3 linked regions of the Neodiprion lecontei genome follow. The protein of the gene in region 1 purifies or fractionates together with the protein of each later gene. This does not show direct contact. Links are inferred from orthologs where the notes say so. Each region holds a gene or a part of one and is shown in the gene's direction. Other genes may lie near its edges. The genes, in order: zinc finger MYM-type protein 3, uncharacterized protein LOC107226935 and ubiquilin-1.

Region 1 (8,867 bases):
GTGTATAGGGTACATAAATCAAATTCGTTGAATGACAATACGTGTTTAAAATGATAATTAATATCACGACTTGGAGATATATGTATAGGGAATTCGATTGGAATCGGATGGTATATTCTTTCAATGTGTCGTTTCTTATTTTTCTTTCTCCTTCGTCGAGATAACGCCAATGGCGAACGGTGCATCGAAGTACACGGGCATCTCATTGATGATCGATGCGATGTAAAATTGACGGGATAGAAGTAACGTGCTTTCGCACTTTATTCTGCTATACAAACGAATGCGTGCAATTGACGGCTACGACTCGGATACACTAGTCGTGAAATTGATACGGATACGGGCAGTCTAACTTGAGATACCTGATTCTTGATGAAAATAGTAGACATCCTGTTATGCTTTTATGATGAACATATTTCCACGTATAAATACTCTGTATTATATACACAGCGTTAGGAATTTCAGATTACTACATAGGGGGGGGGATTGAAAAATACAGTACATTAAAATAAACATTGATTTTTCATTACATTAAGGTAATGCAAAACTGTAAATTAACGGTATGTTTTGGTAATGAATAATTACCGTCTCTGGTCGAGGTCGGTATTCATCGTCAGTTTGCACAATCGCGCCTTGAAGCATAATTAAGAAAGCAAACTCAAAAGTGAGAACTGACGACGAATATCGGCCTTAATATAATACCATTTCTCATAGATTTGCATCGCCTTAACATCGCGATGCATCGGACTCCATTCGGAACAGTAACAATTAACCCATCGTCATACCGGGAAGTGAACTAATTATAACGCATCAAGCATCGCTCATAATCCCATCACCCCGATCTGCTTTTAATTCACGTTACAAACTCTTTCACGCTTTCGTCGACAATTTGTATTTTGCATCTAATGATCAAGTATGATCTCATTAAGAGCAATCGATCATGGAACTGCAAAATCCAAAATGCTACGTTGCTTTTCTTATTTTCATCGCTTATTCGTTATTACACATTGTCCGTTGAGTTTTCTTTCTTTCTTTCTTTCTTTCTTATTTTTTTTTTCTCAAGATTTCCTTGATCTTTTTTTTTTTTTTTTTTGTATGTTTATTTTTTAATCCTGTGCCCGACGTTATTGAGTCAAAAGATCAAAGCATTGCGGAAGAGAGCCCGGAAATAAAGAAAGAAAAAAAAAAACACAAAAACAAATCTTTGGATTCAAATACAATAAAAAAAAAATTCACCCAATGACCGGGGAATCTGCTAAAATCTACACGCTGCTTGTTGTGTGACTCTCCGCAGAAGAAGAATGGGAACGAGAATTGGAAGCGGAGCTTCGTGACTTCGAGGTCGTACCTGGACAGGAGAAAACAACGACGAGCGGAGGAACTGGATCTTTGAAAGATGGTACATTGGGGAAGGACGACTGGGAGGAACAAATCGACGAGTTGCTCGGCGAAGAGGATGATCTCAAGTGAACTGCCTAGTCATCGACGAGGATCATCTCTGCCCAGTAAATTGACCTCGACGCTTCTTCACTTACCTTATTATTCCTTCATCCATTCATACGCAATAAATAAGAACGAGTGGTTTGGAAAAAAAAAAGAAACAAAATAAAAAAGCAAAAACAACAAAATCAACCAACGAAAGAAAGAGAGAAAATAAGGAATGGAAGAAAGTAACGAATTATCGTTTTTCATACTTGTTTCACAAGTTAGGTTTCAGCTACGAGATACACTGCAGTTCATCGCGGTAAATGAAACGATATTATGCCCTCGCGATAGAAGGGCTCGATTTTGTCGCAACGGTGCTTTTCTCCAGGGGTGTAACTTCGTATCCACCCCCACCAATCCCATCCCCTTCCTCCCTCCTCCCTCCAGTTCCAGCCACCACCAACTACCATTCGAATGAAGATACGATAAATAAAAAATGCAGTCGCGTTTACGTCAGTCAACGATGAAAAAAAAATGGCTCGTTCATTAGTTCCATGAATAATCGATCATTGGTTTGAATTTCAACGTGAGAAACGCGAATATATGGTAAGGAGAGTTTTCGGAAACGCTTGGTACTAATTAACGAGTATCGGTGCCTATTTGCTATTGATTTGAGCTAAGCGTATTTTTGAAAGCCAAGAATGAAATATGGCCTAAAATTGTATATTCACGTATTTATACATATATTACCGGATGGATTACTTTGAATTACAGGTAGTGTGTTTTGAAATCTCAAGAGACATTTGATGGAACTCTGTGAAAACTGTTGTAAAAATTCTGTTTACTTTTCTGAATGTTGATCATAGCGTGGGTACTTTTCTGTACTCTTTAAATATTTCTCCAACGACAATGTTTCACAAATTTCTCTCGAATTTCACAAAGCCTCACGTATTATTCAACTCGCCCCTCGTTCATCCTTATCTGTATTCGAAGAAGCATCGATTAATTTTGAAACACACGAGTAATGAAATACGGAAGATGAAATGAAAATCAATGGCGATAATTTTCAATAATACCAGCAGCAGCACCCCCACCAAAATATAATACCTGGTTATGTGTTTTCTTTGCAAAATGGTCCAGCGCAGGTTACCATGACGTTAATTTCTTTGCGCATTTAATCTCTGTATTCTTGAATTATAAGCGAGATCTGATCAGGTTTGCTAGCTCAATGTTATTACAAGAGAATGGTAATAACCGGCTGCTTTTTATTGCATTTGTGAAGTGGGGTCTGAATTCAGATCCAAGTTTCACTTTTTACTTTCCTATGTATAGCCTACGGTAGATATTAAATTGCCAATATTAAATTTGTCCAGTTAGTCGTTGGTCAAATGCGACCGATTGCGAGGCCTAAGCCTGGTTGAAAAGTTAGAAGTTTAAGAGTTGAAAAAACAAAATGAGATATTTAATTAATATATAAGCTGATTTCATTTAACGTTATATATATAACTATACGTATAACATTATTATATGTATATGCATTCTCAGCGAGAGATTTTGAAAATGTCTATAATAATTATCAGTTATGAAAAAAAATTAATTATATTGTACCTGTGTTGAATATAATAATAACAATAATAATAATAATATACACATACAGATTATTTGGTGAGTTTATTTACACGATAATTGTAGTTATAATCAATATTGTTATTAATCAATTTATTGATTTGTTGATTACCTTGAATTCGTTCGCAATTCAAATCATAGCAATATGTATGTACGTACTTATATCAATTTCGGATGAGATAGAAAATTATTGACTCCTTATATTATATATATATAATATATACATACTGGTATAAATAATATTGAATCGATATTCACGATGAATGTTCTACGACGCAGAAAATTTGGAAGAAGTACATAAATTATAATTATCACTCATAAATAATGAACATACACCCGATTATAATAATATATAAATTTAAATATTATATATATAAATATAAAAATACGAACATACATTATATATACATATATACCTATATCTAGCGGGAAAATTCAAAGGCCATATATCTAGCGGCAATATCGAAAGGCTGTAGGTATATATATGTGTATGTATATATATATATATATCTAGTGAAACGCCTAGTCCGACGAAGATCTCTGCTAGTAATGTTCAACATATATATGCTGTTGATTCTATTGAAAGTATGATATATAATATATACCTATATTATATTATAAACTAATAAAAATACGATACAAATTCAACCATTAAATATTTGAAAAAAATAAAGAAATTATTAAATAATACATACATACATACCTATATATATATATATAGAGCTACGATAATGTAATCACAGAGGTCGTGTACCTTGTGAAAAAAATATGAAAATCAATGAATCAGTTTTATTTCTGTTTTCATTCGCATACTTCGCACGCTATGTATTCAAATCTTGCATCTTGTTCAAACTAGGTGATTGTTATTCAATCGAAGCTATTTTTATACTTCGATGCATTCCTTGATATCGACGGATTATTCTTAAATTTGTCGTTTCCGCATTTCGCAAGAGGATATACTATTCATGAGGAAAATAAGTATGAAATAATTATTTTCACTTGTTACATCGCGTATACAATAATTTTGATTGTGTGGCGTCACCATGGACAATCTCACATCAAGATATGCACACTGCCCTATCCTTATCATAACGTTTAGCCGAAATTTGCTCTGACAATGAGACTCGCTGGCATACTGTCTTTTTTTTACTAACAATCCACGGGGAAAATTGTAACAAATTTATCAAATCTTTGTACAATAATCAATATTAAATTTCATTCACACGTAATTCTCATCATGCGACCGTAGCGTTTTGAACTGGCTACACTGTTTGCCTTGAGTGCGATTTCCCTAGTTTCCAACCAATAGCAACGGTGGAAACCTAGGGAAAACGTCCGCGGCGCAGCCAGTCAAAATCCCTACTAATGTTTCTAATGGCGAATTTGGCTCGCAGAAAAAATGCGCACTGAGTATATATTCCCGAGCCTTGAGCCAACGAAAAAGCTAGAAATCTGCATCGAGTGTGCATTTTTTCTGTAAATCGAATTCGCCATAAAATAACGCACATACAAGATGCTGAAACGAGCGTTGATTGAAGCCATTAAATCTCACCCTCACGGGAGTTTATTGTCACATTTTCAGGTATGTTTCTCAATTGAAATAATATTTCACGCAATTTGATGTTAATTAATGATGAGAATTTGATATTCTTTGTGAGCCTTGTGATTCCCGGGCTGGTAGCGCCATCTATCATGCCGCCTATGTTTGGATGGGGTAGCACACAAACAAAGCCTTAAAAAATACGTGTGTAAAGTGTCAGTTGAACGGGGTTGGAATTTGTGCATTTTATTTATTAAAAAGGAAAAAATCCCAACAATCAGTGAATGATATTGGCTCCAAACCCTCTGACCAGGATTGAATGCGAAGGCACGTGAATTACATATGACTAAAAAGTGAGTAAAGAAGAAAATACCACGAATTACCTGTGCGGCGTTTCTCGCCGAAACCTGCAGCGTCGTTGTGCATGTATGCGTATATCATTAAATCACATCAAACAGTTTGGTTAAAAACTTTTCTACGCACGAGAAACCGAGTCTAGGGTGTTTCAGTCGCGTAATTGGTGCGTGATTCGTTTGTATAGTTGTTTATCATTCAAGCAAACAAGTATACACCTTCCCCTTACAATTGTTGACAGAGAATAAATTCATTCTCTTTTTAATAACAAGGGTTAAAAATGCGTCTTGTATAACCTTCCTTACCAACTATCAGCTCTATTTTTTTCGCTAAAAATAATAAATACAACATGGCGGTGTTAACGCAAGTCGATCTCGAACCTAACCTCTAAAAACTTAACCAATTTCTCTTATTGTTATTTGTTGACAAATTTCAAGCCGATTTCAATATAAGACTAATTTTTCATTACAGATTTTTGGGAAGATGTACGATGGAATAATCTTACCGAAGCTTCCCGCTAATGAGGCTTGAGTCATTGTTAAAATACACATCAAAGTGCAAAACAAAAAGCGTGCGAAATCATAATCATGGAGCAAGACACAGAAGCCGTCTCAGCGACTGACGACTCGATTGTTCCTAGTTCTACGGAAGCTCAACCAGAAGCCGGGGCATATGTAATGGATGAAAATGCCGAAACACCCGAAAAAGATGGTCTTACAGGCTTGGAAACAACTCTAGCAGTGGTTGACGATAAAAACGAAGACCCCGTACCCCCTAAAAGCTGTGAGACAAATCTAGAAGATACTCCCAAATCTGATGCAGATACAGCGTCTGTTCCTAAGCTAGTTGACTCGATAGAAGACAATAGAGTGATTAAGTCATCTACTGTAACTGACCTAGCGTTCCACAAGAATGTTGAATCTAACGAAAATTCCCTTAGCTTAAATCCTCTTGACTCGGAATGGAAAGATACTGATGTATCTATGACAAGTGTGAGTGAAAATCCAACCTCTGAGGCAGAAGAATCTACTATAGTTTGCAACTCTCCAAATTTAGAAAAACCTTCAAAGCCAGAGAAGAGAAACTTGGACACAGTAGAGGAGAGTTCAAAACTACAGTCTCCTGAAAAATCAGATAATCCTGACGTAGAAAAGGCTTTAGATACTTGTGCTGACGACACAGCGATGGAAGAAAAACCTGACTCCAAAAAGTGTATGGACAATATAGAGGATAGTTCAAAACCTCCATCCCCTCAAAAATCTGACCATTCTGATGTAGAAAAGGCTTTAGATACTTGTGCTGATGATCCAGAGATGGAAAAAGAACCTAATTCTGAAAAGTGTGTAGAGGTAGATATAACAAAACAAAAGGTATCTGAGCCTGAAGAATCACTTTGGAATTTGAAAGTTGGCGGGGGTGTCGAGGCTGAGAAAAAACCTGAAGCTAGTGAAAGTGCTGTGGAATATGATACAAAAAAATTTGACTCGTTAAATTCAGAATCTAGTCTCGATGGCCAGGAGAAAGATGCACTGGTAGAAAAGAATGTGTCTGTCATAGAGCCTGAGAATACAGAGTTTGTGCAAATATCGCAAGAGGATAAGCATGACGAGTCTCACATAGAAAATCAGTCCATAGATAATGCGGAAGATCCATTCGGCGGTGACAATGAGAACTCGGAACATCCAGACGACGATCATATGGAGGCTGATAATCTTGATGGGGAAATTGCTGACCTTCAGAAGCTTGGAGACCAGGCTGATAACCTCCAGGATGTAGTTAAAGCTAAGGACAACTTTCAGCCAGACAAATCTAAAGATGATTTGAGCAATGAAATACTGAGTAAAGCTGACAGTGGTGACTCTGTGGCAGATGTTATTTCCGATAAAACTGTTGACGAAATTGTAAAAGTGCAGAAGTTAGTTACGACTCCTTCGATTGAGAGTGAGGACAAATCGGAGGAGAACAACAAAGAGGCTGTTGAAGAACGAGATACTGGAGAAGCAGCTGAAGGAAAAGAAAGCCCCGGAGATGATGAGATCCAAAAAGATGGTAAAGAAGGAGAGAAACTTTTGGCTAAGGCGAGCCTTCCACCTTTAGGGGCCGAAGACATATCATCTGATGTTCTTCCTGGGCAGGATGATGAACTATGTATTATTCCTGATAGTATGAAGGTCATTTTGCCTGGAGGAACAGCAGAGAAGACTAGCGAAGGCGTAGAGAGTCAGAAAAAGCCGGAGGAAGAATCGGTAGAGAACAATGCGGTAGATTCGGAAAAAATTATGGATGACGATCAAAGTCTGACTATTGTGAAAAAACCGGTTGTAACCAAGGCGATATCTGGACAGTTGGTTCCCAAGAAGGGAAGAATTGTGACCGTTAAGTCGAAGGGTGGCAAGCCTTCTTCTGCTGATGTTATAAACCTAGATGACGATCCACAAAATTCAGAGTCTGAGGGAAGTAAGCAGAAAGAGAAGTGTAAACAATGCAATAAAGAGCAGTCGTGCAAAATAAAGGTGAAGATAGGCACAGAGTGCTTCAATGTTTGCTCAAAGGAATGTAGGAATTCATTTAAGGCAGCTAATAACAAAGCAACCGATATTCCGAGCGATGGAGTTAACTCAAAACGGGAAAAGAGATGCGCAGGGTGTCTCTTGATCGTCGATGCGAATGACGAGAAAAATCTTTCCTGGGAGACAATGGAATTCTGCAATGAGGAATGCCTGGGCAAATTCCAAACCAAATACGGAAGCTATTGTAGGAATTGCAATGGCTCCGTCCAGGCGGTCAGCCTAGGAAAGTACTGTGTACGCTTTGGGTATGACGTCAGACAGTTCTGCTGCTCAACATGCTTAGAGGAATTCAAAAAAGGATTAAAGGTATGCAGCTACTGTCAGAAGGATATCAGTTCTGGTACAGAAGGATTTTTAGCTCCTGTGGGGGATAAAGGACAGTTTAAAGACTTCTGCACTCAGGATTGCATGGAGAAATATTCCAGAATGAGCTCCAGTGAACCTCCGGCATCAGTGAAAAAGTCTTGCAGTGTTTGCCAACTGGTGAGATTTACTTTTTACCATTCATAGTCTAGTCGAGGCCAACAATAAGTCCCCAGAATGTAGATCTGTTCTGAAGAGAGCAACTTTAGATTTGCTTACTTGGTTGGAAGAGTATAGATTGACTTTTGCTCTTTGATCAAGTCCTACATCTTCAGAGATGAAAAAGACACGTACTTCGTTACATGTATATGTATATTTATAACCCTCTTCACTACTTTTTTGTAGGAAAAAATTGTCCACTGCGAAGTACAAATTGATGGAGGGACTCCAGCAGCCATATGCAGTGATCCTTGTTTTGCAGCATTTAAATTTGTGAACAAGGTTGACCCAGATCAATGTTCGACGTGTAAAAAATTCTTCCAGTTGTTGAGTAAAAAGAATTTTGTTGTCTTCTATGAAGGAGAGGCGCACATGTTCTGTAACAAGACATGCCTCAACGTTTTCATAATAACTAACAGAAAAATTGTACCGTGCAACTGGTGCAAAGTTAAGAAGTACAATTTCGATATGATAAAGAAGGAACTTAAATCTGGACAATTAATGATGATGTGCAGTTTGAATTGTCTCACCCTTTATCAAGTAAGTAGACCAAAGATTATCTCAATTGAGACCTAATACCGAACAAATTTTGTAGACGAATTTGAAATTTAATCAAACTAATACTAAATTCTGCAAATCGTGTTTACTTTTCAGGTTTCCATTAACGCTGTATCCGCAAGGAGAATAAACTGTGACTTTTGTAAAGAGTTTTCACAAGCTCAATACCATCTCACGATGTCAGACGCAACAATACGAAATTTCTGCTCCTACAAATGCGTGATGAACTTTCAAAGCCAGTACACGAAATCTCCGATCACCATTCCATCCAGCGA
Region 2 (12,173 bases), on another chromosome or scaffold:
GCATCAAAAGTTAGAGCCGAAAAACGAGAACCTGTGTTTTCGACATTTTTCAGCAGGTGCTTTTTCCTTCGTCATTTCTCTCCTGTTGATCCCACGCTCTTTTCGCTGCGTTTTCTGAGTTCCTCGGGGTCCAATTAGTCAGGAGAGGGTCATTCAAATCGAATCTGAGATCAAAAGAGTTTTGCCCGAAAAAAAAGTAAGGCAAACCCCTCTGTATTTTTGGCGAAAATTTTCGCGATTCTGAAAAGTGCTGGAATGAATTCTTTCTGGCACTATTTCGACGTAATTTTGCGAGAGAAATCGATTGGGCGCAGTCCCAATACGCTGCGATCAACTGATCAAAAGTTAGAGCCGAAAAACGAGAACCTGTGTTTTCGACATTTTTCAGCAGGTGCTTTTTCCTTCGTCATTTCTCTCCTGTTGATCCCACGCTCTTTTCGCTGCGTTTTCTGAGTTCCTGGGGGTCCAATTGGTCAGGAAAGGGTCATTTAAATCGAATCTGAGACCAAAAATTTCTGCCTCAAAAAATGAAGAAAAAGTAAGGCTAACCCCTTTGTATTTTTGGCGAAAATTTTCGCGATTCTGAAAAGTGCCGGAATAAATTCTTTCTGGCACTATTTCGACGTAATTTTGCGAGAGAAATCGATCGGGCGCAGTCCAGAGTCGTCATTAGCAGAACAGTCAAACTCACAACCTTATCCGATATTCTTTGTATTATCCTAGCCATTCTTGACAGCTTTTCAATGTCTAGGATGTAGCGTCTCTTTTATTTTTCATTTGTATGCTTTCTCAGCAAATTTCTTAGTTTCGTATAATATGTCACATTTTTCGAAATTAAACTTATTATAAATAGGTTTATGATCATGCAACATCGAGTACCTATTATCTTATAGTATGAAAACGTATTTGAAAAATTCAGTCTACAACAATTGTGCATTACATGCGTATATGAATATTTCGAAATCGGCGGCCTTGTTATGTCATGCACTCGTTATCCCAGTTCTCAGGCAGCACTGGATTCAAAATTCTTGATAACGTCTCCAGCGAACAGGAAGTTCCACATCCGGGCACGTTCAAGGGGTGCGGAATAGTTGTTTCCGTAGTATTCAGGAATGATATCTGGATCAGAAACTCGTTGAATATTTTAACATACAAATACATAAGCCGTAAGTATAATAAAGCATCGTATTAACTAACCTTGACTCTGTGATCTCGTCCACCGTCCACTGTGTGCAATTCAAAGATAAAACACGCACCGTATGCCGGCTCAATGTGTCTTTCGTTGAATCCTAAGAGCCTCGAAGTATACACAAGCGTATAATCGTGAGCAGCGTAAAGGTGCATTTTGCGTTCGTTGGTTCCGTTCTTACTCATCCACATATTTTGTAAAATTTCCTTCAACAAGGGTCCTACTTAAATAGAATTCTTGGTTGTAGGTGCCATGAGTGGTGCAATACCAGAAATTTGTACGAAAAATTTTCGCACTTACCGCCTCTGAGCCGCTTCTGGACTAAACTGTTCATATGCGCATCAAAGTATACGGATGCCTTTATGGTTTGGTTCCTCAAGAAGTTTGTAGCCCAGTCTGGCAATGGTAATCCATTCAATTCCTAGATGATTTCGAGACATGCCCCATGTGAATAAATTCTTCAAATTCTATCACTTGACTCAAGCATCTTACCTGACATTGAAATATGTCGCGAAGATACAAAACACTTTTTAAAGATGTTATCTTCATGCCGGTACCCTTTGACAGTATGTTGAAGAGAACTGGGTCGTTATAGCTTGCGTCTAACTCCGAAATGAAATGAGCAGATTCATTCTCAAAGCGCGGACACGGCACGTCCATCACGATCAACTGATGAAAAACGCTAAATAATCGATGGACAGTTTTGCGATGGTAAATTTTTCCAGAACATTTTCACCAACCTTGTCCGAACCCTGCGGTATCGTCTGCACCGTAACTGGACGCCAAAGTAAACCTGGTATGAACTGGTCTTCAGGTTTCGGCAAATAAAGTCCTGCTAAAAGCGATTGCGCGGACATGATGGCTCTGTCCAAATGGCTGCTACGTACCAGAATTTCGTTGCTGTGATACTCGTCGTCGATCAACGATCCGTACATTTCTCGTATCCGTTGCCCCAGAGTGTACAACTGAAGCATTCCTTTCTGGTGCATACGAAATTTGTACGAAAAGTTAGTTTGTACTGTTACATAGATACGAGCTTTTAAACCGAATTAAACTTCTCTTCTGCTACTTATAAATTAACAACCAACCTTAGTCAATCCTCCCTTTCCGCTAGGCCATGGATAATCAGCATAAGGATCATTCGGATAAACATCAATGGGAGCTCTGTCGCCATGTCGAAATACCTGCAACGTATGTAGCACAATTAGCTAGTATACCATTACCAGAATGATGGCTTTTTGGAGATTCGCAGTTCTTTAACACTATTGACAATTTCTATAGTAAATCCACAGAATCCATCCAAATACGTTCCAAGTTCCTACGGATTTGCCGGATTCCTATAGGATCCCATCGGAAATTGGAAGGAACCAAATGGATTCCATGGGACATTTTCACTAGGGGAAAGATAAGAAAAAACTATTACACATGGCTATATATTCGTGCAATTTGCTTACGATAACAACTTGTTGCAGGCTCTTTTGTTCGTGGGATGGTGAAGTAGAGGCAGCGCAGTGAAAAGTTAGGAGAACGAAGGCAATAGCCACTCTAAAAACGGCTGAGGAATCACGCATTTTGAAGGGTTCTGACCCGTACTTAATAAAATAGTTCCTAGGATAGTGTTAATGACAATTTGTAATTGGGATAAGCAATGTCTAGATAAAGATAAATTTTCTGTATTGTACTCCGTCCGTATTCATTTTGCAACTGGTATCTATTTAACTCATGCCGTAGTCCAATTTAAGATCTTACACGTTTTCAAGTTCACAGTTCTGACGATACTGACCTCAGGGCTCGTTATCAAATTAAAGTAAATGCGTGAATTCAAGTTCAGTAAAACTCAGGGTTCATTATCATCGTAGGTATTATAGTGTTATCTTACTGGCGATGTTGCCATAACTGAACGATTTATTGATATAATTAAAACTTATATGTTTGATTCGTTTGCGTAATTTTGTTGATAAGTGGGTAGTTAGTCTAAATTTCTAGATATTAAATATCTTTACAAAATCCACGCTTAAAAGCGTTCCAGTTTACGCATATTCCATATAATAAGGCAAAGAAGCAGTAAAGCGGAATTTCATGTATCATGATTCGCATGAACTATGGTGCATTGCAAATCGAACTATGGTGTTACTTGTAAGGATATTCAAGACTGTAATTTAAATCCAGCATCCGCCTACAATTTATAACTGCAATATTTTTGTTGCAAAATTATTGAAATAATTATTGTACAAGTTAGTAAAATTCAATTATCGTGTGTTTTACGATTATGATACGATGAGAGATTTCAGAATGTGTAAAGAACTAGTTGTTCAATCAGTCTGAAAAATAGCAAGCGCAACGACATTGAGGAAAATTTGATATCTTTAATTTTAATGAATAAAAAGACAACAACAGTGAAAACGACGTGTACAATTTTATTCCCTGAACTGAATAAGTTTTATTTCATTATCGTTGCGTAAAAATGTTTTCAACGCATCAGACTGCATCGTCCATTGACATCTTGGAATTTTAATGGGCGTAGAATTATCTCGGTACATGGCATTTAGCAATCCCATTGTATACCGCGTGTTTCAAAAATAAATTCCATCACTGTCGTACTTGATCTCATTCGTTTATTTCTACGTTCTCTTCTTAGTTCTTCATAGTACAGAGACTTCACATTTAGCGATTACATATAACGTGTGTTTGAAAAATAAATTTCATCACTGTCGTACTCGATCTCATTTGTTTATTTCTACCTTCTCTTTTAAGGTTTCCATCGTTTCCATTGAGATTATCACTCTTTGCAAATCGTCATCTGATGGAAAGAAATTGAACTAATGCAACCAGCTGACAGCTGACTGTTGTCTGTGTTTTTTCGCATGTCCACATTAGAATAGGTATATTATTGATTATGTTTCCTAAACGTATGTGTCATGAGTAATTTGAAACCCTAAGAATTACGATTTGCCTCGATTAAAATTAAAAACTTAGGTTATGTGATGATAAAATGGCGCCTATAGTTATAGGCTCTGACGTCATGAGGACATTTTCCAATCATACGGAGACGTGGCATTGAGTCACATTATATACCGCGTGTTTCAAAAATAAATTCCATCACAGTCGTGCTTGGTTTCATTCGTTTATTTTTACCTTCTATTTTTAGTTTTCTATAGTACAGGAACGTGGCATTTAACGGTCACATATACCGCCTCTTTCAAAAGTAATCTCCACCACAGTCGCACCGAGCTCATTCGTTTATTTCTGCCTTCTCTTTTTAGTTTTCTATAGTACAGAGAGTATCCACCGCGGAGACGCGCGAGAACCGCCATCTTAACGTGGTCGCGACTACACCGCTGTTGCGGTGTTGCGCTGTGTGATTTTTGTTATTTGATAAAGATATTCCCGCGGTGATAATGATTCAAACTCGATAAAATTGCAGTGTGTATTTTGCCAAGGAATAGTGAAGGTAGGCTGAAATTATATTGAATCACATTTGATTAACCGTAGGATTTTCAATATCGTCCCGTAACCTATATTTTATTTACATCAAAATTTATCGTTTTACCAATGCCGCAACTGTAGCGGACAAACCGATGTTTTTGATACAGGTAATAGAATTGCTTACCCGCAGACGGGACAACCTCAAAGCTTTTATTTAAACAAACTGTAATTCAAAATTACCTCATCAATGTATCATTCAGAATATTTTTTTTCTAAACAATACAATTCTCACTCCCACACATATTATTATAAAAACACTAATGTAACCATAATAAATTAGGCTCATTCATTATCAACATAATTTTACTGCACCTACAATACTAAATCTACAATCTTTTCTTTAATGATTTTCAATTTTTTTGCTTCTCACATATTCTCCTATTTTTTAGTTGAATGTATGTAATGGATGTAACATACTCCGCTACCCGTTGACCATCGCTATCCGCTATTCAGGAGCGACACATTTTTGAAAACCTTTTTAACATCACTTTGTAGTTTTCAGATCGAGGATACCTGAACTGGTTGGTAAACCAATTTAACAATGCCGAAAGGACGGTTAATTACTCGATCTGTGACCCATACCAGGCCTATCAGCATGACGCTTAACTTGGACTGCTCTGAGGAGCCTCTCAGCGAATCTCAGCTTGCGCACAATGCAAAGCTGAAAGAAAATTATGATAAGGTAAAGAACTCGTGCGTGAAGTAATTTGTGTATATTCTGTTAAATAGAGTGAGAAACTTGAAAACTAAAAACTCAGGCAAGGGAAATTGCCACAACTTTGGCATTCCTGGTAAAGTGTTTCAATACAGCAACAGCATGTACTGTTAATAAAGGTGTTTTATATTTAAATGTTTCTTAAGGTTGCAGGAACACTCGAAGAAGTGATCAAAGAACGTGGTGGTCAGCTACTCTGTCAAGCAGGTGCTGTCCAAGGGTATCAGTACACATTGTAAGTATCTTAAAGCAATTAACCAGCTGTTAAAAATCCAATGTTTTTAGTAATAGTGAGCATCACTCTCTACTTATTACCCTGAACTTTTTCCACAGGCCAGGAAATGCTCCACAGCCAGCAATCGTCAAACCTAGCCAGTCTTCGTTGTTGAATCCAGTAAGTTTCACTTTGTTGAATAATTCAATTGATTCATCATTTTGGCATATTTAATTGCCAATGATAAACTTTCCAAGTGCGAAACTCAGATTCAGGAGCTATTTAAGATTCAGTTTATGTATTATACTCATTGCTGATGTTATTTCTAGAACCAGGCAAAATCGCAGCCTATAAAGTTGAACATGTTAAGCAACCCACCTGGAAATCAGGGAAATATCCAGCTTGTGATGGATCCACGGATGGGTGTTATATTGGGAGCAGTTACACAGCAGCAATGTAGGCAAACTGTATTTTAAAATTATTTTCAACCACTCAATGTTCCTGGGACAATTGTGAAACTAACACTATGTCGTTTTCTAGCTACCCCACCAACCACGCAAGCAACTCCTTCACCGGTAGTGTCTTCGCAATCAACCAATGAAAACGTACGTAGATCGATGCATCTATGTGTTCCGTATATCAAAAATCAGGCTCATAATTGTTGTTTCTGTTAATCCAGTACAAGTACACGAGATCTGGCCGTAGAACAAAAGTGCTCCAAGTGCAGCAGCCTGATATCATGGAAGAAGTGAGTGAAAACTGAAATTCACTTGAACGGTGGCGTTTTGGGTATTATTTCCTGTGCTGTTCACAATGTCGTTTATTTTTTTACCCCTAAATTTGACGTGCCAAAAATTGGAATTTGATTTAGTCAACAAAAGTTTGGTCTCAGACTGGGAATGCAAAAGAAGTGCATATTGCATATGAATACTTGTAACTCTGTTACCAATTTCAGCTTCCTACTCCAGTTTCCAGAACCAGAGGAAAAACCGGCACCCCTACACACGTCGTTACTCCTAGTAAGTTGCAATCTGATGTTAAATGCAGTTACATTTGGGTAGAAATAATGATGAATGTTGCTGTTCGTACCTCTGGTTTTGATCAATAGAATTAAATCATCTGTTCCAGCAACGACGAGCCCTCAGGGGGTGACAAATCTGAGGATAAAAACGGTTCCTAAACAGCAACAGCAACAGCAGCAGCAGCAGCAGCAACAACCACAACAGAAACCTGCCCCAATCATTGTAAGACCAACAGAACACACTAGCATAGGTGGTATATCTGTGGGTAACAAAAATGCAAGTGAGTATAGAGTCTCGATTTATCCTTATAAGTTTGATGTGACTGAGATCATTTTCATCTGCTGCACTAAATATTTAAATCCATAATTATTTCAGGCGGTGAACAGATCGAAGAATCGAAGCGCAACCTGCCAGATGGCAGAGAGATAACGTTCAATAAAATGAACGGCGGTAGGACTTTTCCCTCGTTGGTTGTTGTTGCCCGGCCAAACCTTTGCACAAAAGATATCGCGCCACAGCTTGCGCAAGCAGAGAGAACGGAACTGGGTCGGTACCGAGGTGTTTTAACAAAAACAAACGTTTAATTGTACACGATTAACACCCCTGTTAATGGCGAATCTTGTTTTCAGATGTTAAAGTTAAGAGCGTCTTGATGTATTCAGCAACAAAATTTGCCGAATGGCTAATACAGCAGGGTTTAGTGCGATCGGAGCAGTACTGCAACCTGCACAGTAGTAACTATCAAAAGACTAAATTGAAACTTGGAATGTACAGTGATTCTGGTACATTTCCCTACTCTGGTGGTTACGTGTGGATATCGAGCTGTTGCCCGGATCGTTTTGTCTCAGTATTCTCTGGCTCGATATTTCAAGGAGCTCCGCACACTCCAACTGTTTTACTAAAGTTAATTTATCACTGGGCTTGTCAAACAAACGTGCAGAACGTCGTCTCTTGGGTAAAAGTATCTAACGTTTATGTAAAAAATTTTTACACCAATCTTCGCAGCATTTGCACAGCTGCTGTGTGGGATAAAAGTTGTAAAATGGGTGGCAAAAATTCTATGGTTCAAGTCGGAGTTATCAGCCTTGGAACTACATCGCAAGATGGAAATTTGAGACAGGTAAATTTTTATTCTATGTATCGACTTGTGCTCATTACAGGTAAGTATGTTGCGTATCTTTTCAATCTTTGATATTATTCATTTTGTAGATGAACTCATATGTTTAATCTCTCGTTCAACAGGTCAAAGTAGAAGTATTGGGTATCTTGAATTTGGAAACGCAGGAAATTCGACTGCGCGCTTGTGACCCTGTTCATGACGGCGACAGGTCCTTCAAACGAAGGTTTCACAATATATTAAATCCGCTTCGAGACTGGGTCCACAAAGAATCCAAAATACTTACTGATTACACAGTCGACAAATCTACCCTCCAGGAAATGGGATTTCACAATGTGATGCAGTCAGCGTTTTCTGAACAAAATCCCAGGAACACATTCAGTAATTACCACATTATGGAATACCTGAGAAAAATCGTACCAAGAATGTTTCAAAACACGCTAAGTCTTCTTAGTAGACAAATGATACAACAATTCCTAGACGACCTTGTCTGGCGTGAAATGTTTGGTAAAACAGCAGCTCGTGCATTTGACAATATAATAATCCACATAGCGGAGCAGACTAGAATTGATTCTCGTAAGTTGGATTCTTTGGATGAGAACGAAAAAGCAGTCTTATATACCTCCAAGTTGACTATCAATATCTGTAATTTTCAGCTGACTGTTTACTAGATCGTTTGGCTAAGATTGCAGCAAATCCATTCCAGGATTGGTCTTATTCAAACCTGGCTCCGCCGCAGCTGGCTCCAATGGTCTCGATCCCAAAGGAGCCAGTATCAAACAACGCGGAAATTATTCAGACTATAACACAGGTTGACTTGACTAGAAACAACAATAAACCGGGGCCTAAACGAAACCGAAAAAGACTCATAGCTTCTAAAGGCACGAGTCCCGAGCCTGAAGTGAAAAGATCGACGCCTGAACTGAGATTTAGAGACAGGGAAAACAAGGGCGGCGACAACATACAACTTCAGGAGTACTACTATGCCACAATGGAGGGTGACAAGAACAGGCTTTTAGATGAGCGTAAAAGTTCCATAAACATGAAGGTGAGCTAGCGACAATATTTTCGCGGGAATTTCCACTTGTAAAACTAAATAAAAGTGGGCACAGAATTTTCTATGATATCAATAAGTAATTGAAAGATAGATGTGTAACATTCATTTAAGATACACTCTGTATTATAATGTGCAGTGTTTTCTGTGCACTACGATAATGCGATCGAATACAGAAGTTATGGAGCACATGGTGACCCATGTAAGGCCACAAGTACCTGGACAAAAGGAATCCCCGGTCTGTAGGTATTGCTGCGCTGTATTCTCGTCCAAGCATCAAATGACAACGCACGTTAGCGAAGCGCACAGCACAATGGGGCGAAGTGCCAACGGTGACATGGTGGTATGCGCTATTTGCGAAGAAAAGTTTGGTGAGTCGATGCTCAATTGTGAGTACCTTGTATTATTTTAGTCAACATTAAGGCAGATAAGACTGCTGTACCGTTAATTTTCTTTTCAGTGATTGGTACGCTACTGGCTAATCACATGGCAGCTACTCATTATCCGTCGGAAATGCCATACCGATGCGAGACCTGTGGTTATCGTTCATCTAGTCATAAAGATGTCATCGATCATTACTATAAAATCCATGAGAAAGGGGATGGTCTGATGTGTCCTTATTGTCTCAAGGTAAGAAGAACGGTGCATTTGACTTTTACCCAGTCATTACCAATTCTGTGTAATAACTAAAATTCGCGCGTTAAACAGGTGATTCAGTTCTGCACGGACGGTAATTCAGGCACTCTTCTACCAGTTGTTCATGCCTACTTATTGCACATGCAGAGGCATTCATTGAGGCGTGAAGAAGGGAGGGGTAACAAATGTCGGCGATGCTGTCTTTGGTTCAACCAAAAAAGTGCGCTGATAACGCATCAGAAAGAGTTGCACATTTTCCTGTCTAGCCCTAGTAAGTTGAGAACTGCGTGAGAATCAATAATATCTGATTAATAATTACAGTCTAAATTACCGTATTCGTAAATTTTTACAGAAATTATTCCGTACATCGCAACTGAAAACGGTATAATGATACCGAGACCACGTAACCCAGTGAAACGTATCGAAATAGATAGTCCTATACAGGAATTACCCAACACTGAGAACGTGAAGACATGGTCCGAAGGACCGATTAGAATTCTTGCTCCACCTAAGTTGGCTTGTCAGGAGTGCGAGGAGGACATAGATGAGCTTGAACATTACCCGTAAGATTACCCGTCGGTTTTTTGGTCGTAGAACTAATTTCGTACAATGATTGCTTCGATTGTTATATGACCGTATGGTGTAATACTTAATAATTTACAGCGGTGAACAGAAATGCTTGCACTGCAAATACTCGACGTGCTGTTGGCGAGCTTTCAAGGAACATCAGCAACAGTTTCACAATGCTAGACCACTGACCGGCTTAGCAGTACTTTCACCACTGCTGAACATACCCTTGGAAAATAAAATGCAGTGTCCTTGCGGTTTTTCGTCGGTTGATGGAAACCAATTAGGTATTAACGTATATTCATTCATTTACTACTGGTTTGAGATCATTTTTTATATCCAATTTTATATTCTGATAACATCTTTCGGTTCTTTTGCAGCGACGCATTTGATCAAATGTAAAAGGATATCAGCTTACCCTACCGAGGATTCCGAGGCGACTGGAATGTTAGACAGTTTGGGATTGGTTCCCAAAAATATTCAAGACGTATGGGTGTTGTAATATTGCAAAATGTTAAATGATGCAGGGAAACAAGTTCCGTTTCAATTTTTTTTTCCATTATCCTTATGTGCTGTTTAACCACTACTGGATATAAATATAGAATAAAATAAACAGTATTCGTTAAATCTGGCAAAATTTGATCTACTTCATTTAAAATTAGCTTTTTGCTGAAGCAAAGCAAAAATTCTTCAGATATAAAAAAATTCAAAAATATGAAAGGACTAATTATTATGAGGTACATGTAAATGTTGTGGTTTTTAAGGACCTGGAAGGTACAAACAGTCTTCATCAAAAGCCACCCAGGATTGACAGAATGGAAAACCGACACAACGACGAGGAGAATTCTGTTCAGCCATTGACTTGTGAAAAAACTGACGGAGATTTAGCGATGCCTGATATTACCGTAAGAACAAATATGGAATTGAATTCTACTACTGGCATTAATGGTCGTCGGGCAAAAGCGTCTACCTCTACATCAACAAGGTTCGAACCTTCCCTAGAAGACAATTTGCCAGAGATCGTTGAGGACAGACTCTTGCCATCATCTGGAAAGAAAAAAAAAGTCTGATGTCGAGATCTCAAATATTGTGAAGTGAGGATTTTAAGGGACGTGAAAATTGAGTCTAGCAAATTTCTCGGTAAAACCGGTAGACTTCGTGAATAGTGTTTACGTTAATTTTACGGTATTTCGATTAACTAACAATAAGTATGAAAATAAAACTGAGTTTTGAACGACTTTAAGCTTCGTTAATACCGTTCGTAATCGTTTGCGTTTGCACCTTTTCTTTTACGAGTTACAGATTAGCCAAGCACGACAAGCTTCACTGAATAAGAGAAGTTTCCAAAGCGTGATGCCATGTATAATAACTGTTCTGATTTGTTTCCCAATTGTATAATTTCTTGTAATTTTTTCACAGACATTGAAAATTAGAGACTATATTATTACATACGGTAGAAAAATTTTGCAAACGTCGTTCGGCGCGATGTATCGAAACATATTATAAAAATTTTCGATACTCAAGATCATTCTAGAATTACCTATGCGAGACCCAACGTTTTCGAACATACTACCGATAGCAAGTACTAAGGATAAATTTGACAATGTATCGATAAGTATGTTACGATTAATCCTAATAAGTCTTTCTTTTCTACCACACACGTTATATTTCCGTTGGACATTGGATAAAAATTAATAGAAAAAATTTGTCGTATCATTACGTAGTGGGCTGATTTCTCAGTTAATTCGCTTGCTCATCTGTTGAAAATTAATTGATCATACACACTCGTGCATACCTTCAATTATCAAGCAGACCCATGACTGCAGCTCTACTTCGCCAATCGGTACGTGACACGTAACCACCAGCAAGTAGTCTGGAACCAGAATACGCGGTCCGGCCATGCATTACTCTCCAGTTGTCAATGAAAATTACTTCTCCAGGCGAAAGTTTCACGCGGGTTTCCCCCTCTTTGTCGGCCACAATAGCAGCTATGAGGCGCAGATCGTTATAGTGTTGCTGTATCTGATCACGAGGAAGAGTTCTCAGCACAGAACGATCGTAGAGATTAAATCTGTGATAGGGATTTGATATTTTTATTTAATTTGATTTATTTTTACTTCATTTCGCTGCTCCCTCTCGATACAAGAATGGAAAATTCTAAGAGACCAGCCAA
Region 3 (10,697 bases), on another chromosome or scaffold:
ACAACTTTGGAATTCCATCTCTCCAAACTCTGACAGCATAAATCAAGTTAGCCAAGTACGTATTGCAGTATAAACGCCCAGCAGCGGGGCTGAAATTTGTAACATCATTTGTATAAATTTGCACTGCTTAGTGAGAGCGAAACTATTGGAAGATGTATGCACTAAGTGCAGAATCCCTAGTTTTCAACCATTATAAATCCTATAAAACTAGGAAAAATGCAGTCACCAGACATGTTTTTGTAAGTCGAATTCGCCATATAATAGCGTTTTCAACTTGTTGCACCGAGTGCACATAGAGTGCATTTTTTCTAGTATTATGCCTTTGCTACTGTTTAAAACCTAGGAAAATTGCACCGAGCGCATACTGGATGCAGCCAGTTTAAAACTCCGTAAGCAATATATCAATTCTTTGCAGGAATTACTTGCCGAATTTGAAAATTGTCTCACACTTGAAACAACTGAATCAGACAGCAAGAAGGAAGAAGAAAGTAGCATTCAATTGTACCTACAAAGTTTTGCCGAGGATGAACCTTACCATCTAACTGACGAAATGGTGTTCAAAATCATGGTTATCTGTTTTATGACAATAATGAAACTCCAGAGTAAAGATTCGCCCGAAGTTCGCGGTGTAATCGCATTCACTTTGGCTATTTTATCCCAATTGCTACAAACTACTATTGAGAGATTACAAGAGTCAGTGATCAACATCTCTCTGCTAAACAGCGAAGAATATGTGACAAGTAATCCCCAATTTGTAAGAGAAAATGGAAATGACGAATTGAAGACTGATGATGTTCAAGATACAAACGGAATTAATATTGAAAATAAGCAGAGTTTACTAAACTGTGATAACAACTTTCTCGATATTAACGATAATCGCAAACACTTGGACAATATCGAAGAGACTTTTATCGATGTTGATGATCTATTGAATGGGGTCAAAAAGTCGAAAGACAAATCGAAGAGTTTATTGACCAAGCTTAGGCGTCCGCGAAGGCGCAAAAATAGTTCTGACTCTGATGCGAGTGACGCCGATGGTGCAACGATCGGATCTTCCAGCGATGAATTGAACTCTGATATTTCCGAAACTGAGGAGGATGCTTTGAGTGAGGAAATTATTTTGTCAGATGACGGTGTATCTGAAGATTTGAGTGACACCGAAGTTCCTCAAGTAACAAACAAGGAACAAGATTCTATTGTTGAAGATAAAACGAATGCTATAGGTGAGACAAACCCGACTTTGACAGATATTAAAGAAAGTATAAATACTCTGAACGCCAACATATCATCGAACAGTGTTAACGAGACAGTTTTAAAAGACGACAGAGATTCCACCACAAATTCTGGAAGCGCATTAACTGTAATAACGAACGTTGATTCAAACAGTGCTTATGATGAAAGTAATGGCTCAAGTAATACCATTGCCTATGTAGCTCAGTTGAAGAAGCAGAGTCTGGGTACTGCTGAAATAATGAATGTTCTGATGGGCGAAGGGATTTTGACATCAATCAAAATTTGCTTCGACTGGTTGATTGGTAACCCTGACATCGTGCAGTCATGCGCCAAAAGTTCAAGTACACTACTAAAAAGGATATCGACGTTATTGAATTTGATCAACATAAATGCGGATGCTTTGTTCAAAAATCCAGAGAACATCACATTATTCCAAAATCTCAATAGCCAAAACTTGAAGAAATCTGTTGAAGTAGTACCGCTTCCCGAAGATATTGAGCTAAAAGGCCTTAAAGTTTTTGATAACACGCAGAAGACGCTTAACTGGGAATCCCTAAAGAAATTTAGAATGAACAAAAGAGAAGAAACGCTACTAAGAATAATGAAATTAATCAAATTTGGTCATTTTCTATCTACTATAGAGGAGTCTGGCATATCATATGATGAAACTACACGACTCTTCGTTACCTCACATGTCGATAATTCCACAGCATCGAACATAGATAGCAGAAAAGAGAAGAAGGAATCTGAGGCAGATCATCCCCAGGGAAAACTAATGCGGCACATGGGGAGACTGTGGCTGAAAGCTGAAGTTAGAGCATTGGAAACCCGTTTACGGTCCAGATTAATGTCGCCATATCTTGTGCCTGACCATGAGGCTCTCTCGAAGCACATGCCAGCTCTGAAGCGTCTTGTTTATGCAAAGCGATTCATTGTGGTCATACCTTCCGTGGGTAAGAATATAACAAACAATTATCTAATCCACGATATATCAACAATGCTACTTTAACTATATCTTAAAAATTGTCATGAAGATTCAAAACTTTCGTTTGTTAATTTTCAGTTGTTTCTGCGTTGGATGAGGTCAAGCGTACGAGCAGTAGAGCTAGGGAAGCAACTAGGTGGCTAGAAGCTCAATTGCGACGTGGTTCGAGATTTTTACGCGCTCAAAGACCGCACGAACGACTTCCAATTCCCCTAGTCAAAGGGCCCAGACCAAAGGATAAGGAGGCATGGCTTTACTTTCAAATAATTGAATGCTGTCACTACCTGACAAACCAGACGAAAGTTAGTCTTACGAGTGAAGGAGAAGCCCCTGTAGTTACGTTACTAACTGGATGCAGCGCAGATGAACAAAAAACTGCAAATTTCAGTCCAGTTGGACTTGCCAAAAGTGCAGGTAAGCATTTCAATTTCTGATTCGTGATTGGTGGACATTATCAAATTCACTGAACTTAGCGAATTGAATCGAGCAATATTATCTTATTATTGAAACTGGAATAATATTTTGTTTGCAGGAGTGAACCTCGAGCATATAGAATCGTTTCACACAAAATGGAAGGCGTCCAGTAAGAGTCACGGTTGAAGGCGAATGGCCGATGAGAGAACAGTGTCTGTAATTCTCGTATATCACAACGACAGCCGCGGGATTCATCCGCCAGTAATAGAACCGCGCATCAAAGGGCGAACGTATCGGCGAGTGCTAGTGGGGTTGGAAACCCGCAACGAATATCACCCACTATATTTCCTTACATTTGAAATAATGCGGATAACTTAATCATTTCGCATTGTATATTTCTAAATTCAAAAACAACCATGATATATTATTTTTCTCTTAATTAATCGCATTCTCCTAAGTTACATTATAGAAATTATATTTTCTATGTCCGTATTTCCGAATAAAAATAAATTCATATTAGTAATACCTTATGATTACATTTTGTAGAATATGAAACGGTCATCTGCATCGCAAGTTTAAATATAAGAAATCCACACTCGTTACCATATTTGAAAGCATTAAAAAGGCTACTTCCTATAGGTTTTTCATTTGTTGCTCAACTGTTAACGCTAGAAATTGTTATTTTTCATCATTTTAGTGGCCATTACTTATAAGCGTGTGAAATCAGACAACGTACTGAAAAAGTATAACAGAATTTACATGTTATTGTATATGTATTAAGACGAATGAGTAGTCTCTGATATCAAATAATTGAATAAAATCACATTATGTATCTGGCTCAGCGTTGAAATTTATGATGATCCTTCATTCAAGTTTTACGAAATATGAAAATTTCTGCGTACCGGTTTAACTTTTAAAAAAAAATCACAAAATTGAAAGTAAAAACATTCGATTTGTAAGTCAGTTGATAGAAGATGGTTTATTTTTTCAGATTTGTATCTGGCTCAGCTGGGAAGAATGGTGAACTGAACGCCTCCGGAGAAACACGAAGTATGTAATTGCATGAAGGGCGTTGAATCTAGGGAGTTTTTGGAACGCTTGAAAGAATGTACCAGATCAACGAGTGAAGCGCCCGTCGAAGGCTGCGGCAGAGTTCCAACCCGGTCCTTTTCCCTACGTGCGAAAATCGAAAGCATCCCAAAGTAACGAGTCATCTACCACTCAAAGATGGCAGAAAGCCAGGAGAGTCAGAAGAAAATTACAATTAATATTAAAACGCCAAAGGAGAAACAGAGCGTGGAAATAGAAGAAAATGCATCAATCAAAGACGTAAGTGTTGGTCACGTGCAGCGTAGCTTGCGAACCTCGCGACCGTTGTCCGACTAGTTTACTCGCACGATGATTTTGCTTCGCTAATTCATAATATATATTCCCGAACGATGGTGATATGCAGTTCAAAGATGCGGTTTCCAAGAAATTCAATGCCCAGCCCGATCAGATCTGCCTTATATTTGCCGGGAAAATCATGAAGGACCACGAGACACTTGCCACACACAACGTCAAGGATGGTTTGACCGTCCACTTGGTCATCAAGGCTCCCCGGGCACCCGCCACCCAGACGGAAGCTCCGCCACCCCGGCCCCCCGGTAAGCAACTCGCGTGCGTCGCTGTCAATCATGAGTAGAGATCAACTCAGGGTGTGGAATCCATTAAGGTCCATATACCTAATTTATCCTCATCATTCATTCCTGGTTGACAGACTTGTCACCCACGGTGCATGTGTCCCCATAAACTGCTAGTAATCTTGTGCCATGAGTTATCAACCACAGACGTGTAGCTGTCAGCTGTTATCGCAGAATTTCCTTTCCACACCCACGGAGTTGGCGTTGTGTGCCAATCAACATGCAAAACAATCCAGTTTAAATCATCTTTTGACCTATTTTCAGCTAAATTAAGCTTTCTTATCTAAAAGAGATTGCCATAATGCAAATATTCACCAAATATTCAAATATGTTTCCTGAACAGCTGATGAAACACCAGCACCAGTTTTCTAATTTGAGATCTTCTCATTTCTTCCACTATAATTTCTAATTCATCTTCCTTTTCGTCCCTTTCTCTGTTTCTATTTTTTTTGTTCTCATAGTCCTCTCACGTACCATAAGCTTGTGCCAGTGTAATTTTTTTTAGTGATGGTGTTTCTGCTTTCCAGCCGACGTTAACGCCAGTCCCTTTGGCCTAGGAGGTCTGGGGGGACTTCCTGGCCTTGAAAGCCTTGGATTGGGCTCGGGCAATTTTATGGAATTGCAGCAACGCATGCAGCGTGAATTGTTGTCTAGTCCTGATATGATGCGGCAGGTGCTTGACAATCCGTTGGTGCAAAGCTTGATGAACGATCCTGAAAACATGCGAAACTTGGTCACATCTAATCCTCAAATGCAGGAATTAATGCAGCGCAACCCGGAGATAAGCCACATGCTCAATAACCCAGAACTTTTAAGGTAAGTTGCTTACATGGTTTTATAAATTGCCATCATTGGCAAGAGGTAAATGATGCTTTCAGCTCCTTTTCGATCCCACTCTGGTTCAATTGTGATGCACAATAAGTTTTCTTGTATTACATGTATTTTGTTCCATACTTTAAAGTCAATGAGTTTATGTGATACCAATAATTTCCGAATGTAATCTTTTCTAATCAACTGGTATTTTGACACTTTTCGGTATCGAAAATCAGTGAAGATGTATATGAATCATGTTGTGACTTTGCAGCTAATCACTTAAACAAGATCTTAGTTTTCTTTCATTTTTCCAAGATATTTTGCCATCTACCAGTTTTGTACTCATATCATATTTCTCAGACAAACCATGGAATTGGCGCGAAATCCGTCAATGCTACAAGAGCTGATGCGCTCTCACGATCGAGCACTCTCCAACCTGGAAAGTATCCCTGGTGGTTACAGCGCATTACGACGAATGTATAGAGACATTCAGGAGCCCATGCTCGCTGCCGCAGCCAATGAACGCAATCCATTTGCGGCTCTAGTCGAATCCAGTCAACCCATTGATGCAGCAAATCCTCAGCAGGGGCAGGAGAATCGTGACCCCTTGCCAAACCCTTGGAGTCAGGGTCAAACGGCACCAGTGGGTCAAGAACAGGGACAGGGGCCAGGGCAGGGGACCAATCCAAATCCCATGAGAGAAGGCATTTTGAGTTCACCTGGAATGCAGAGTTTGACCGCACAGATGATGGAGAATCCGCAGTTGATGCAAAACATGTTGAATGCACCATACACTCGTGCCATGCTCGAGGCAATGAGTGCAGATCCCGCCATGGCCTCCAGAATGATATCGGCGAATCCACTGTTTCGAAGGAATCCTCAAATGCAGGAGCAGATGCGAGCTATGATGCCAGCCTTTTTGCGACAGATGCAAAACCCCCACATTCAGAGTGTTGTTGGTAATCCAGAAGCCCTCGCTGCTATTCGACAAATACAACAGGGCATGGAACAACTTCGTACTGTCGCCCCTGAACTTGTAGACAAGTGAGTGTCTTGTCCATACAGGGTTGCTGTAAGCCTAACATGTTGCTAAGTTTGAAATTGTCAAAAGATTGAATTCTCAGAACTATAACTTATGACAACCCTGAGTTATCAATATTTTTCCAAATTTCCATTTAAAGACGTGCAATGTATTGTTTATTATCGTCATAGCATGGGTCTAAGTGTTCCACCGGTACCCACCACTCCTACGTCTGGTGCCACAGTACAAACCCCGACTACAGGTCCGCAAACAGACGCTGATCAACAGGGCGCAGCATTTTCCCAATTCATGGCTCGTATGGTAATTGTGAACACATTTTCTTTACTCAGTATACAAAATCTATACGGTCCGTTATGTATAATCTTGCAAATCAACCATGCATACGCACTTATACAAACATATCAAGTGTTTTCTTCGCCTTGCAAAAGCATTGATTTTATTCAGTTAGGTTACACAGTATGGAAATGAAATCGACTCGTTCCCAATGGCGTATGGATACATTATAGATGTAGTCAATTAAGCCCTAACAACCAACTGTGGTATAATTCAAACAGGTATCATCAATGGCGCTAAATCAAGGTGCGGATGGAGTTGCTGGAGGTCAGCAGCTTCCCCCTCCTGAAGAACGATATAGAGCACAGCTCGAGCAACTTACTGCAATGGGTTTTGTAAACAGGGACGCCAACCTTCAAGGTAATTAACTCGACAGAATACGTACTTATAGTTTCAAATCAGATTTGACCATGTGTAACATGGAAGATTGAAAAAAAGAGTAGATAATTCGGGTATCATTGCAGCGCTTTTGAATGTAGTTTGAATATTAATTATTTGATTTCAGCGCTAATCGCAACATTTGGAGACATAAACGCAGCTGTTGAGAGACTACTGGCAAACGGACAACTGTCTATGAGCTAACCACCAATCTGTAACCTGAACATTTCCATTATGATACCTAGTTTACCTTCTTTACACCTGTTTGATCGCAGGCAGACACCCGGCAATTTCGACAAGAAAAATTATGAACCCTCAGTCCTGACTCTTAGCAGGATAATACACGCTCTAATGACTCATTTGATGTGCATTTTTATTATTTTAATGTCGGATCGGTGCCCGTTCGATGTGGTTTACCAAATATGTGGCCATTTGGAACAAGTTCCGCGCGACGACGACATTAGGTTTGGATCGATTCTTGTCGTCTTATTTTCTCGTTCGTGTATTATTTGATGTGCTATAAAAGCTATATAATTGTAACAATATATTTTTTCAGTGCAAAATTATTTACAATGATTTAGAAATATTATATTATATATTATTACATTATTATAATAATATGAGCTGTTCGATTTGTCTAATTGTAGCATACGAAAGGCATTAGGCATTGTGTTTTCTCAATTACAAATTCATAGATTTGTAGCAAAGTCATTGTTGGATGAAGATATAAAGGACCTATGTAATAGGCCTGAAAATAGACAACACGTGTTCGCATTGAAAAAGCCATTTACAAATTATTCCGCATTGTATGAAAAGTGGATGCATTCAAGTGAAACCTAATTATCAGCTAGTTTTTAAGTTGAAAAGGTGAAAGTTGTAAATTATCATTATCAAACGGAAAAAAAACCAAAAAGACGAAAAATATGATCATTTTACCTCCCATGATTGACATATTACTACCGAATGAATATGCGTACACATTTATCGTATAGGTGTTTATTAGTCTGGCTCACTCAAGTGAGACATTCTGTAAAAGCTATTATATATGAAATAAAAATGTGGTTGATTAATAATAATAATAATGATGATAACAGTGATCATATAATATTGATAGTAATAATAGGATCGATAAATTATTTAATCTCAACTATCTATTCCAATTTTCCCTCCTCAACTCTGCAATAAAGAGGGATAGCCTTTCATTATCAATGAAAGTGCAGACTGAACGAATTGATCAAGTCAACATTTTATAGATTTCGAATTGAAACATTGCCAATAACTGATTTTCTCCGGACGAATGTTTTCAATCCGAAATTGTTGAAATTTTGAATTGATAAATTTGTTTTATTTTATTGATATAAAACTGCCAATTATATCCTTGTGAAATACCAAAGCTAACGAATATTTGTTTCCTCAACCGTGTGTGCGTTATTGATACAGAATTATTCAAGATGGTTATTCCGTTTTTTTTTTTAGTTCAAACTGCTGTTTATTTTCACCTCATTTTGATATTTATTGTGCATTATTAGCATGGGTTTGATACGAATAGCACTTTCCAAGTCTCGTATAAAAATTTAGCAAAAACATTTAGTCTCTGGAATTAGATTCTACGGGATTTCCGTTACAGGATTTAGTTTTACTTGACCGTTACGCTCTTACATAATCTAGATTCTCAATGGAATTAACGGGATGAAACTTTTTCGCAGTGAAGCTCGAACGCAGCTGAGAATTTGGAAGCTGGATTTGAGAACATTCGATAATTGATAACATAAACAGAATTTTTGCAGTCCCATTGAAAATTCTAGAAGACATTTTTTTTCAAAGTTTGTAATATGACAGCTGCATTTCTAACCACAAGTCACAAAAGCTTAATTTTTATCGGATTCGTTACAACCGGTATTTTATGCTCGTCGATTATGCAAGGCTGATTCTTTCTACATACTGTAATATGTACGTTCGTAAAGGAACACGCCAGAGCTGAAGCATGTTCCCATGTTCAAAATGACTGTGGTATTCTTTTTCGAATGACTTTTTGATCGATGACTGCAAATCCATCGGAAAATTACTACTCTTGCGATCATTGCGGTAATGTGAATACTGTAGCAGCACAGTCTATCTCATCTCATCATAGCATCGGTCACTGCATTGTGATAAATGATATAAGATCAGAAATGACTGTGTCTTGTTTTTCTTTGACGTACAAAAAGTAAAGTCATTGATTTTGATTGATATATAAAAACTAAATTAGCATCTAAAAACATTTGATTTGCTATTGATTACTAGTGTTCCAGTGTCTAATGCAATAATCTCAACAGAATGATATTAAGAATTGCCAATTACTCAAAACCCTGGCGAAGGGTACGACTAACCAGAATGGACAAACCGTACTACGAATCATTGAAAAATTCATTACTTCATTCTAAATTATTTTCATTAATTTCAACCAAGATCGAAGAATGGTCACATTAATCGTTTCGCTTCGGCGTGAAGTTTGTCAATATTTTTGTGTCGCACTTCAAATCAACAGTGATCTAACGCTACTCTGAAATGTCATCGATAATTGACGCCTGAACGAAGCGAAGGATTTCTACAGAATAAAGATAGAATCGATGGAAGCCTGAATGAAACTGTGATAACGTGTGTTATATTTCCCTACAGAGGTCTATCCTTGGCTGTGAATACAGGCGGCGATAAATTACGAGCAACAAAACACAGCCGACCGACGGCTGCCCTTCCCTTCTCGTCTTGACGTACAATCAAGTCACCGATCTACAGAGATCGGTGAATCAAGTCAATGGAAATACCGATCGAGTAACGACGGTAGCGGTGCGCCAGGGGCGAAACCGTTGAAGATCGCTGATCGCGCGGCGACCGTTGGAGGATCGAAAAAGGACCAATGAGAGGTCGGGCGGTGCCGCAGCGCCTCCAGTCGTTCCTCGCGAGTGCCGCGTTACCGCAGTTGCCGCCAGTCGGGCAGTCGTAGTTGATCTTCGTTGCGTCTGCGTACCTGACTCGGTGTCCCCGTGGCTCGAAATCGGTTTTAGAATCGTGTTTAAATCCCGACGATAATCCACCGACCGATGCGACGGACAGCGTCGCGTTAAGGTTCCGGAATCAGGACCGTTTAGCGGCGAGGAGCGAGCTGACAGGGCAGGGAGAAAAGACGCGGTTAACCAGCGTCGGTGTTGACTACTATCGGGGGAATATCCGAGTTCCGTTGGGTCGCATCTCATCTCCGAGTTTAACACACGCGCGTCGAATTGCACTTTAAGAATGTGCGAGGGTGAGGTTGTGACCAAGGGAATATACGTCGACGGTTGTGACACGCCGAACTGGAGGATTCTTCCGTGTTGACGCGGCATCGCGTCGGTGTTGCGAGGGATAATATATTAACCCACGGGCAAAACAATACCCGCCGGAGCTCGAAACTGACCACCACCACTGTCTCTGCCGCCCACTCGAGATCGGAACCTCTGGAAACCAACGGAATGTAGCACGAGGTTAGTCAACGAATGCCTGCAGTTCGTTCTCTCACTTCCCCAATTTTCACTCACACAATCGCTCCACGCACACACACGCACACGCTAAAGGGAACGAAAATAACTCCCCGCAATTATCCTCGATAGTCGTCGCAGGTCGACACACGCGAGATGTTGTGTACGCCTAATTTGCATACGCATATTTACGCTCGTGGCTAGCTCCTAGCCACAGATCGAGCGCCAAGGCGCGCCGACGATTCTCTTCTGTTTCACGTCCGTTTGCCTGCAGTACCAGTTATGCTCTCACGGCGGACGCGTTCCTCAAGTCTCGAGAGCGG

Evidence for each region.
Region 2: the proteins of zinc finger MYM-type protein 3 (region 1) and uncharacterized protein LOC107226935 purify together in Drosophila melanogaster (affinity purification with western blotting; 3 studies listed by BioGRID, with this or other methods). This does not show direct contact. The link is inferred for Neodiprion lecontei from reciprocal best matches to the Drosophila melanogaster genes woc and row.
Region 3: the proteins of zinc finger MYM-type protein 3 (region 1) and ubiquilin-1 purify together in Drosophila melanogaster (affinity purification with western blotting; 3 studies listed by BioGRID, with this or other methods). This does not show direct contact. The link is inferred for Neodiprion lecontei from reciprocal best matches to the Drosophila melanogaster genes woc and Ubqn.

What each region holds. Positions count from the first base shown.
Region 1 is NC_060264.1:28,093,341-28,102,207, forward strand, and holds the start of zinc finger MYM-type protein 3, read left to right. Parts: upstream 1-4,415; 5' UTR 4,416-4,630; intron 4,631-4,662; exon of another isoform or gene 4,663-4,941; intron 4,942-5,009; exon of another isoform or gene 5,010-5,108; intron 5,109-5,133; exon of another isoform or gene 5,134-5,152; intron 5,153-5,164; exon of another isoform or gene 5,165-5,413; 5' UTR 5,414-5,529; coding exon 5,530-7,995; intron 7,996-8,220; coding exon 8,221-8,574; intron 8,575-8,688; coding exon 8,689-8,867. Other genes in the region: synapse-associated protein of 47 kDa, read left to right, coding at 1,292-1,467.
Region 2 is NC_060262.1:1,989,861-2,002,033, reverse strand, and holds uncharacterized protein LOC107226935, read left to right. Parts: upstream 1-4,484; 5' UTR 4,485-4,640; intron 4,641-4,756; 5' UTR 4,757-4,782; intron 4,783-4,818; exon of another isoform or gene 4,819-4,840; intron 4,841-5,170; 5' UTR 5,171-5,216; coding exon 5,217-5,357; intron 5,358-5,536; coding exon 5,537-5,625; intron 5,626-5,723; coding exon 5,724-5,784; intron 5,785-5,933; coding exon 5,934-6,060; intron 6,061-6,144; coding exon 6,145-6,209; intron 6,210-6,283; coding exon 6,284-6,352; intron 6,353-6,559; coding exon 6,560-6,623; intron 6,624-6,726; coding exon 6,727-6,906; intron 6,907-7,001; coding exon 7,002-7,172; intron 7,173-7,255; coding exon 7,256-7,746; intron 7,747-7,868; coding exon 7,869-8,319; intron 8,320-8,399; coding exon 8,400-8,791; intron 8,792-8,936; coding exon 8,937-9,168; intron 9,169-9,257; coding exon 9,258-9,427; intron 9,428-9,505; coding exon 9,506-9,704; intron 9,705-9,785; coding exon 9,786-9,996; intron 9,997-10,096; and 9 more. Other genes in the region: lysosomal acid phosphatase, read right to left, coding at 976-1,119, 1,198-1,409, 1,490-1,610, 1,682-1,858, 1,930-2,169, 2,278-2,373, 2,644-2,760; trimethyllysine dioxygenase, mitochondrial, read right to left, coding at 11,798-12,071.
Region 3 is NC_060262.1:19,800,123-19,810,819, reverse strand, and holds ubiquilin-1, read left to right. Parts: upstream 1-3,793; 5' UTR 3,794-3,859; coding exon 3,860-3,961; intron 3,962-4,085; coding exon 4,086-4,278; intron 4,279-4,841; coding exon 4,842-5,130; intron 5,131-5,487; coding exon 5,488-6,171; intron 6,172-6,339; coding exon 6,340-6,469; intron 6,470-6,723; coding exon 6,724-6,862; intron 6,863-7,007; coding exon 7,008-7,084; 3' UTR 7,085-7,968; downstream 7,969-10,697. Other genes in the region: protein SMG5, read left to right, coding at 1-55, 416-2,186, 2,297-2,632, 2,751-2,818.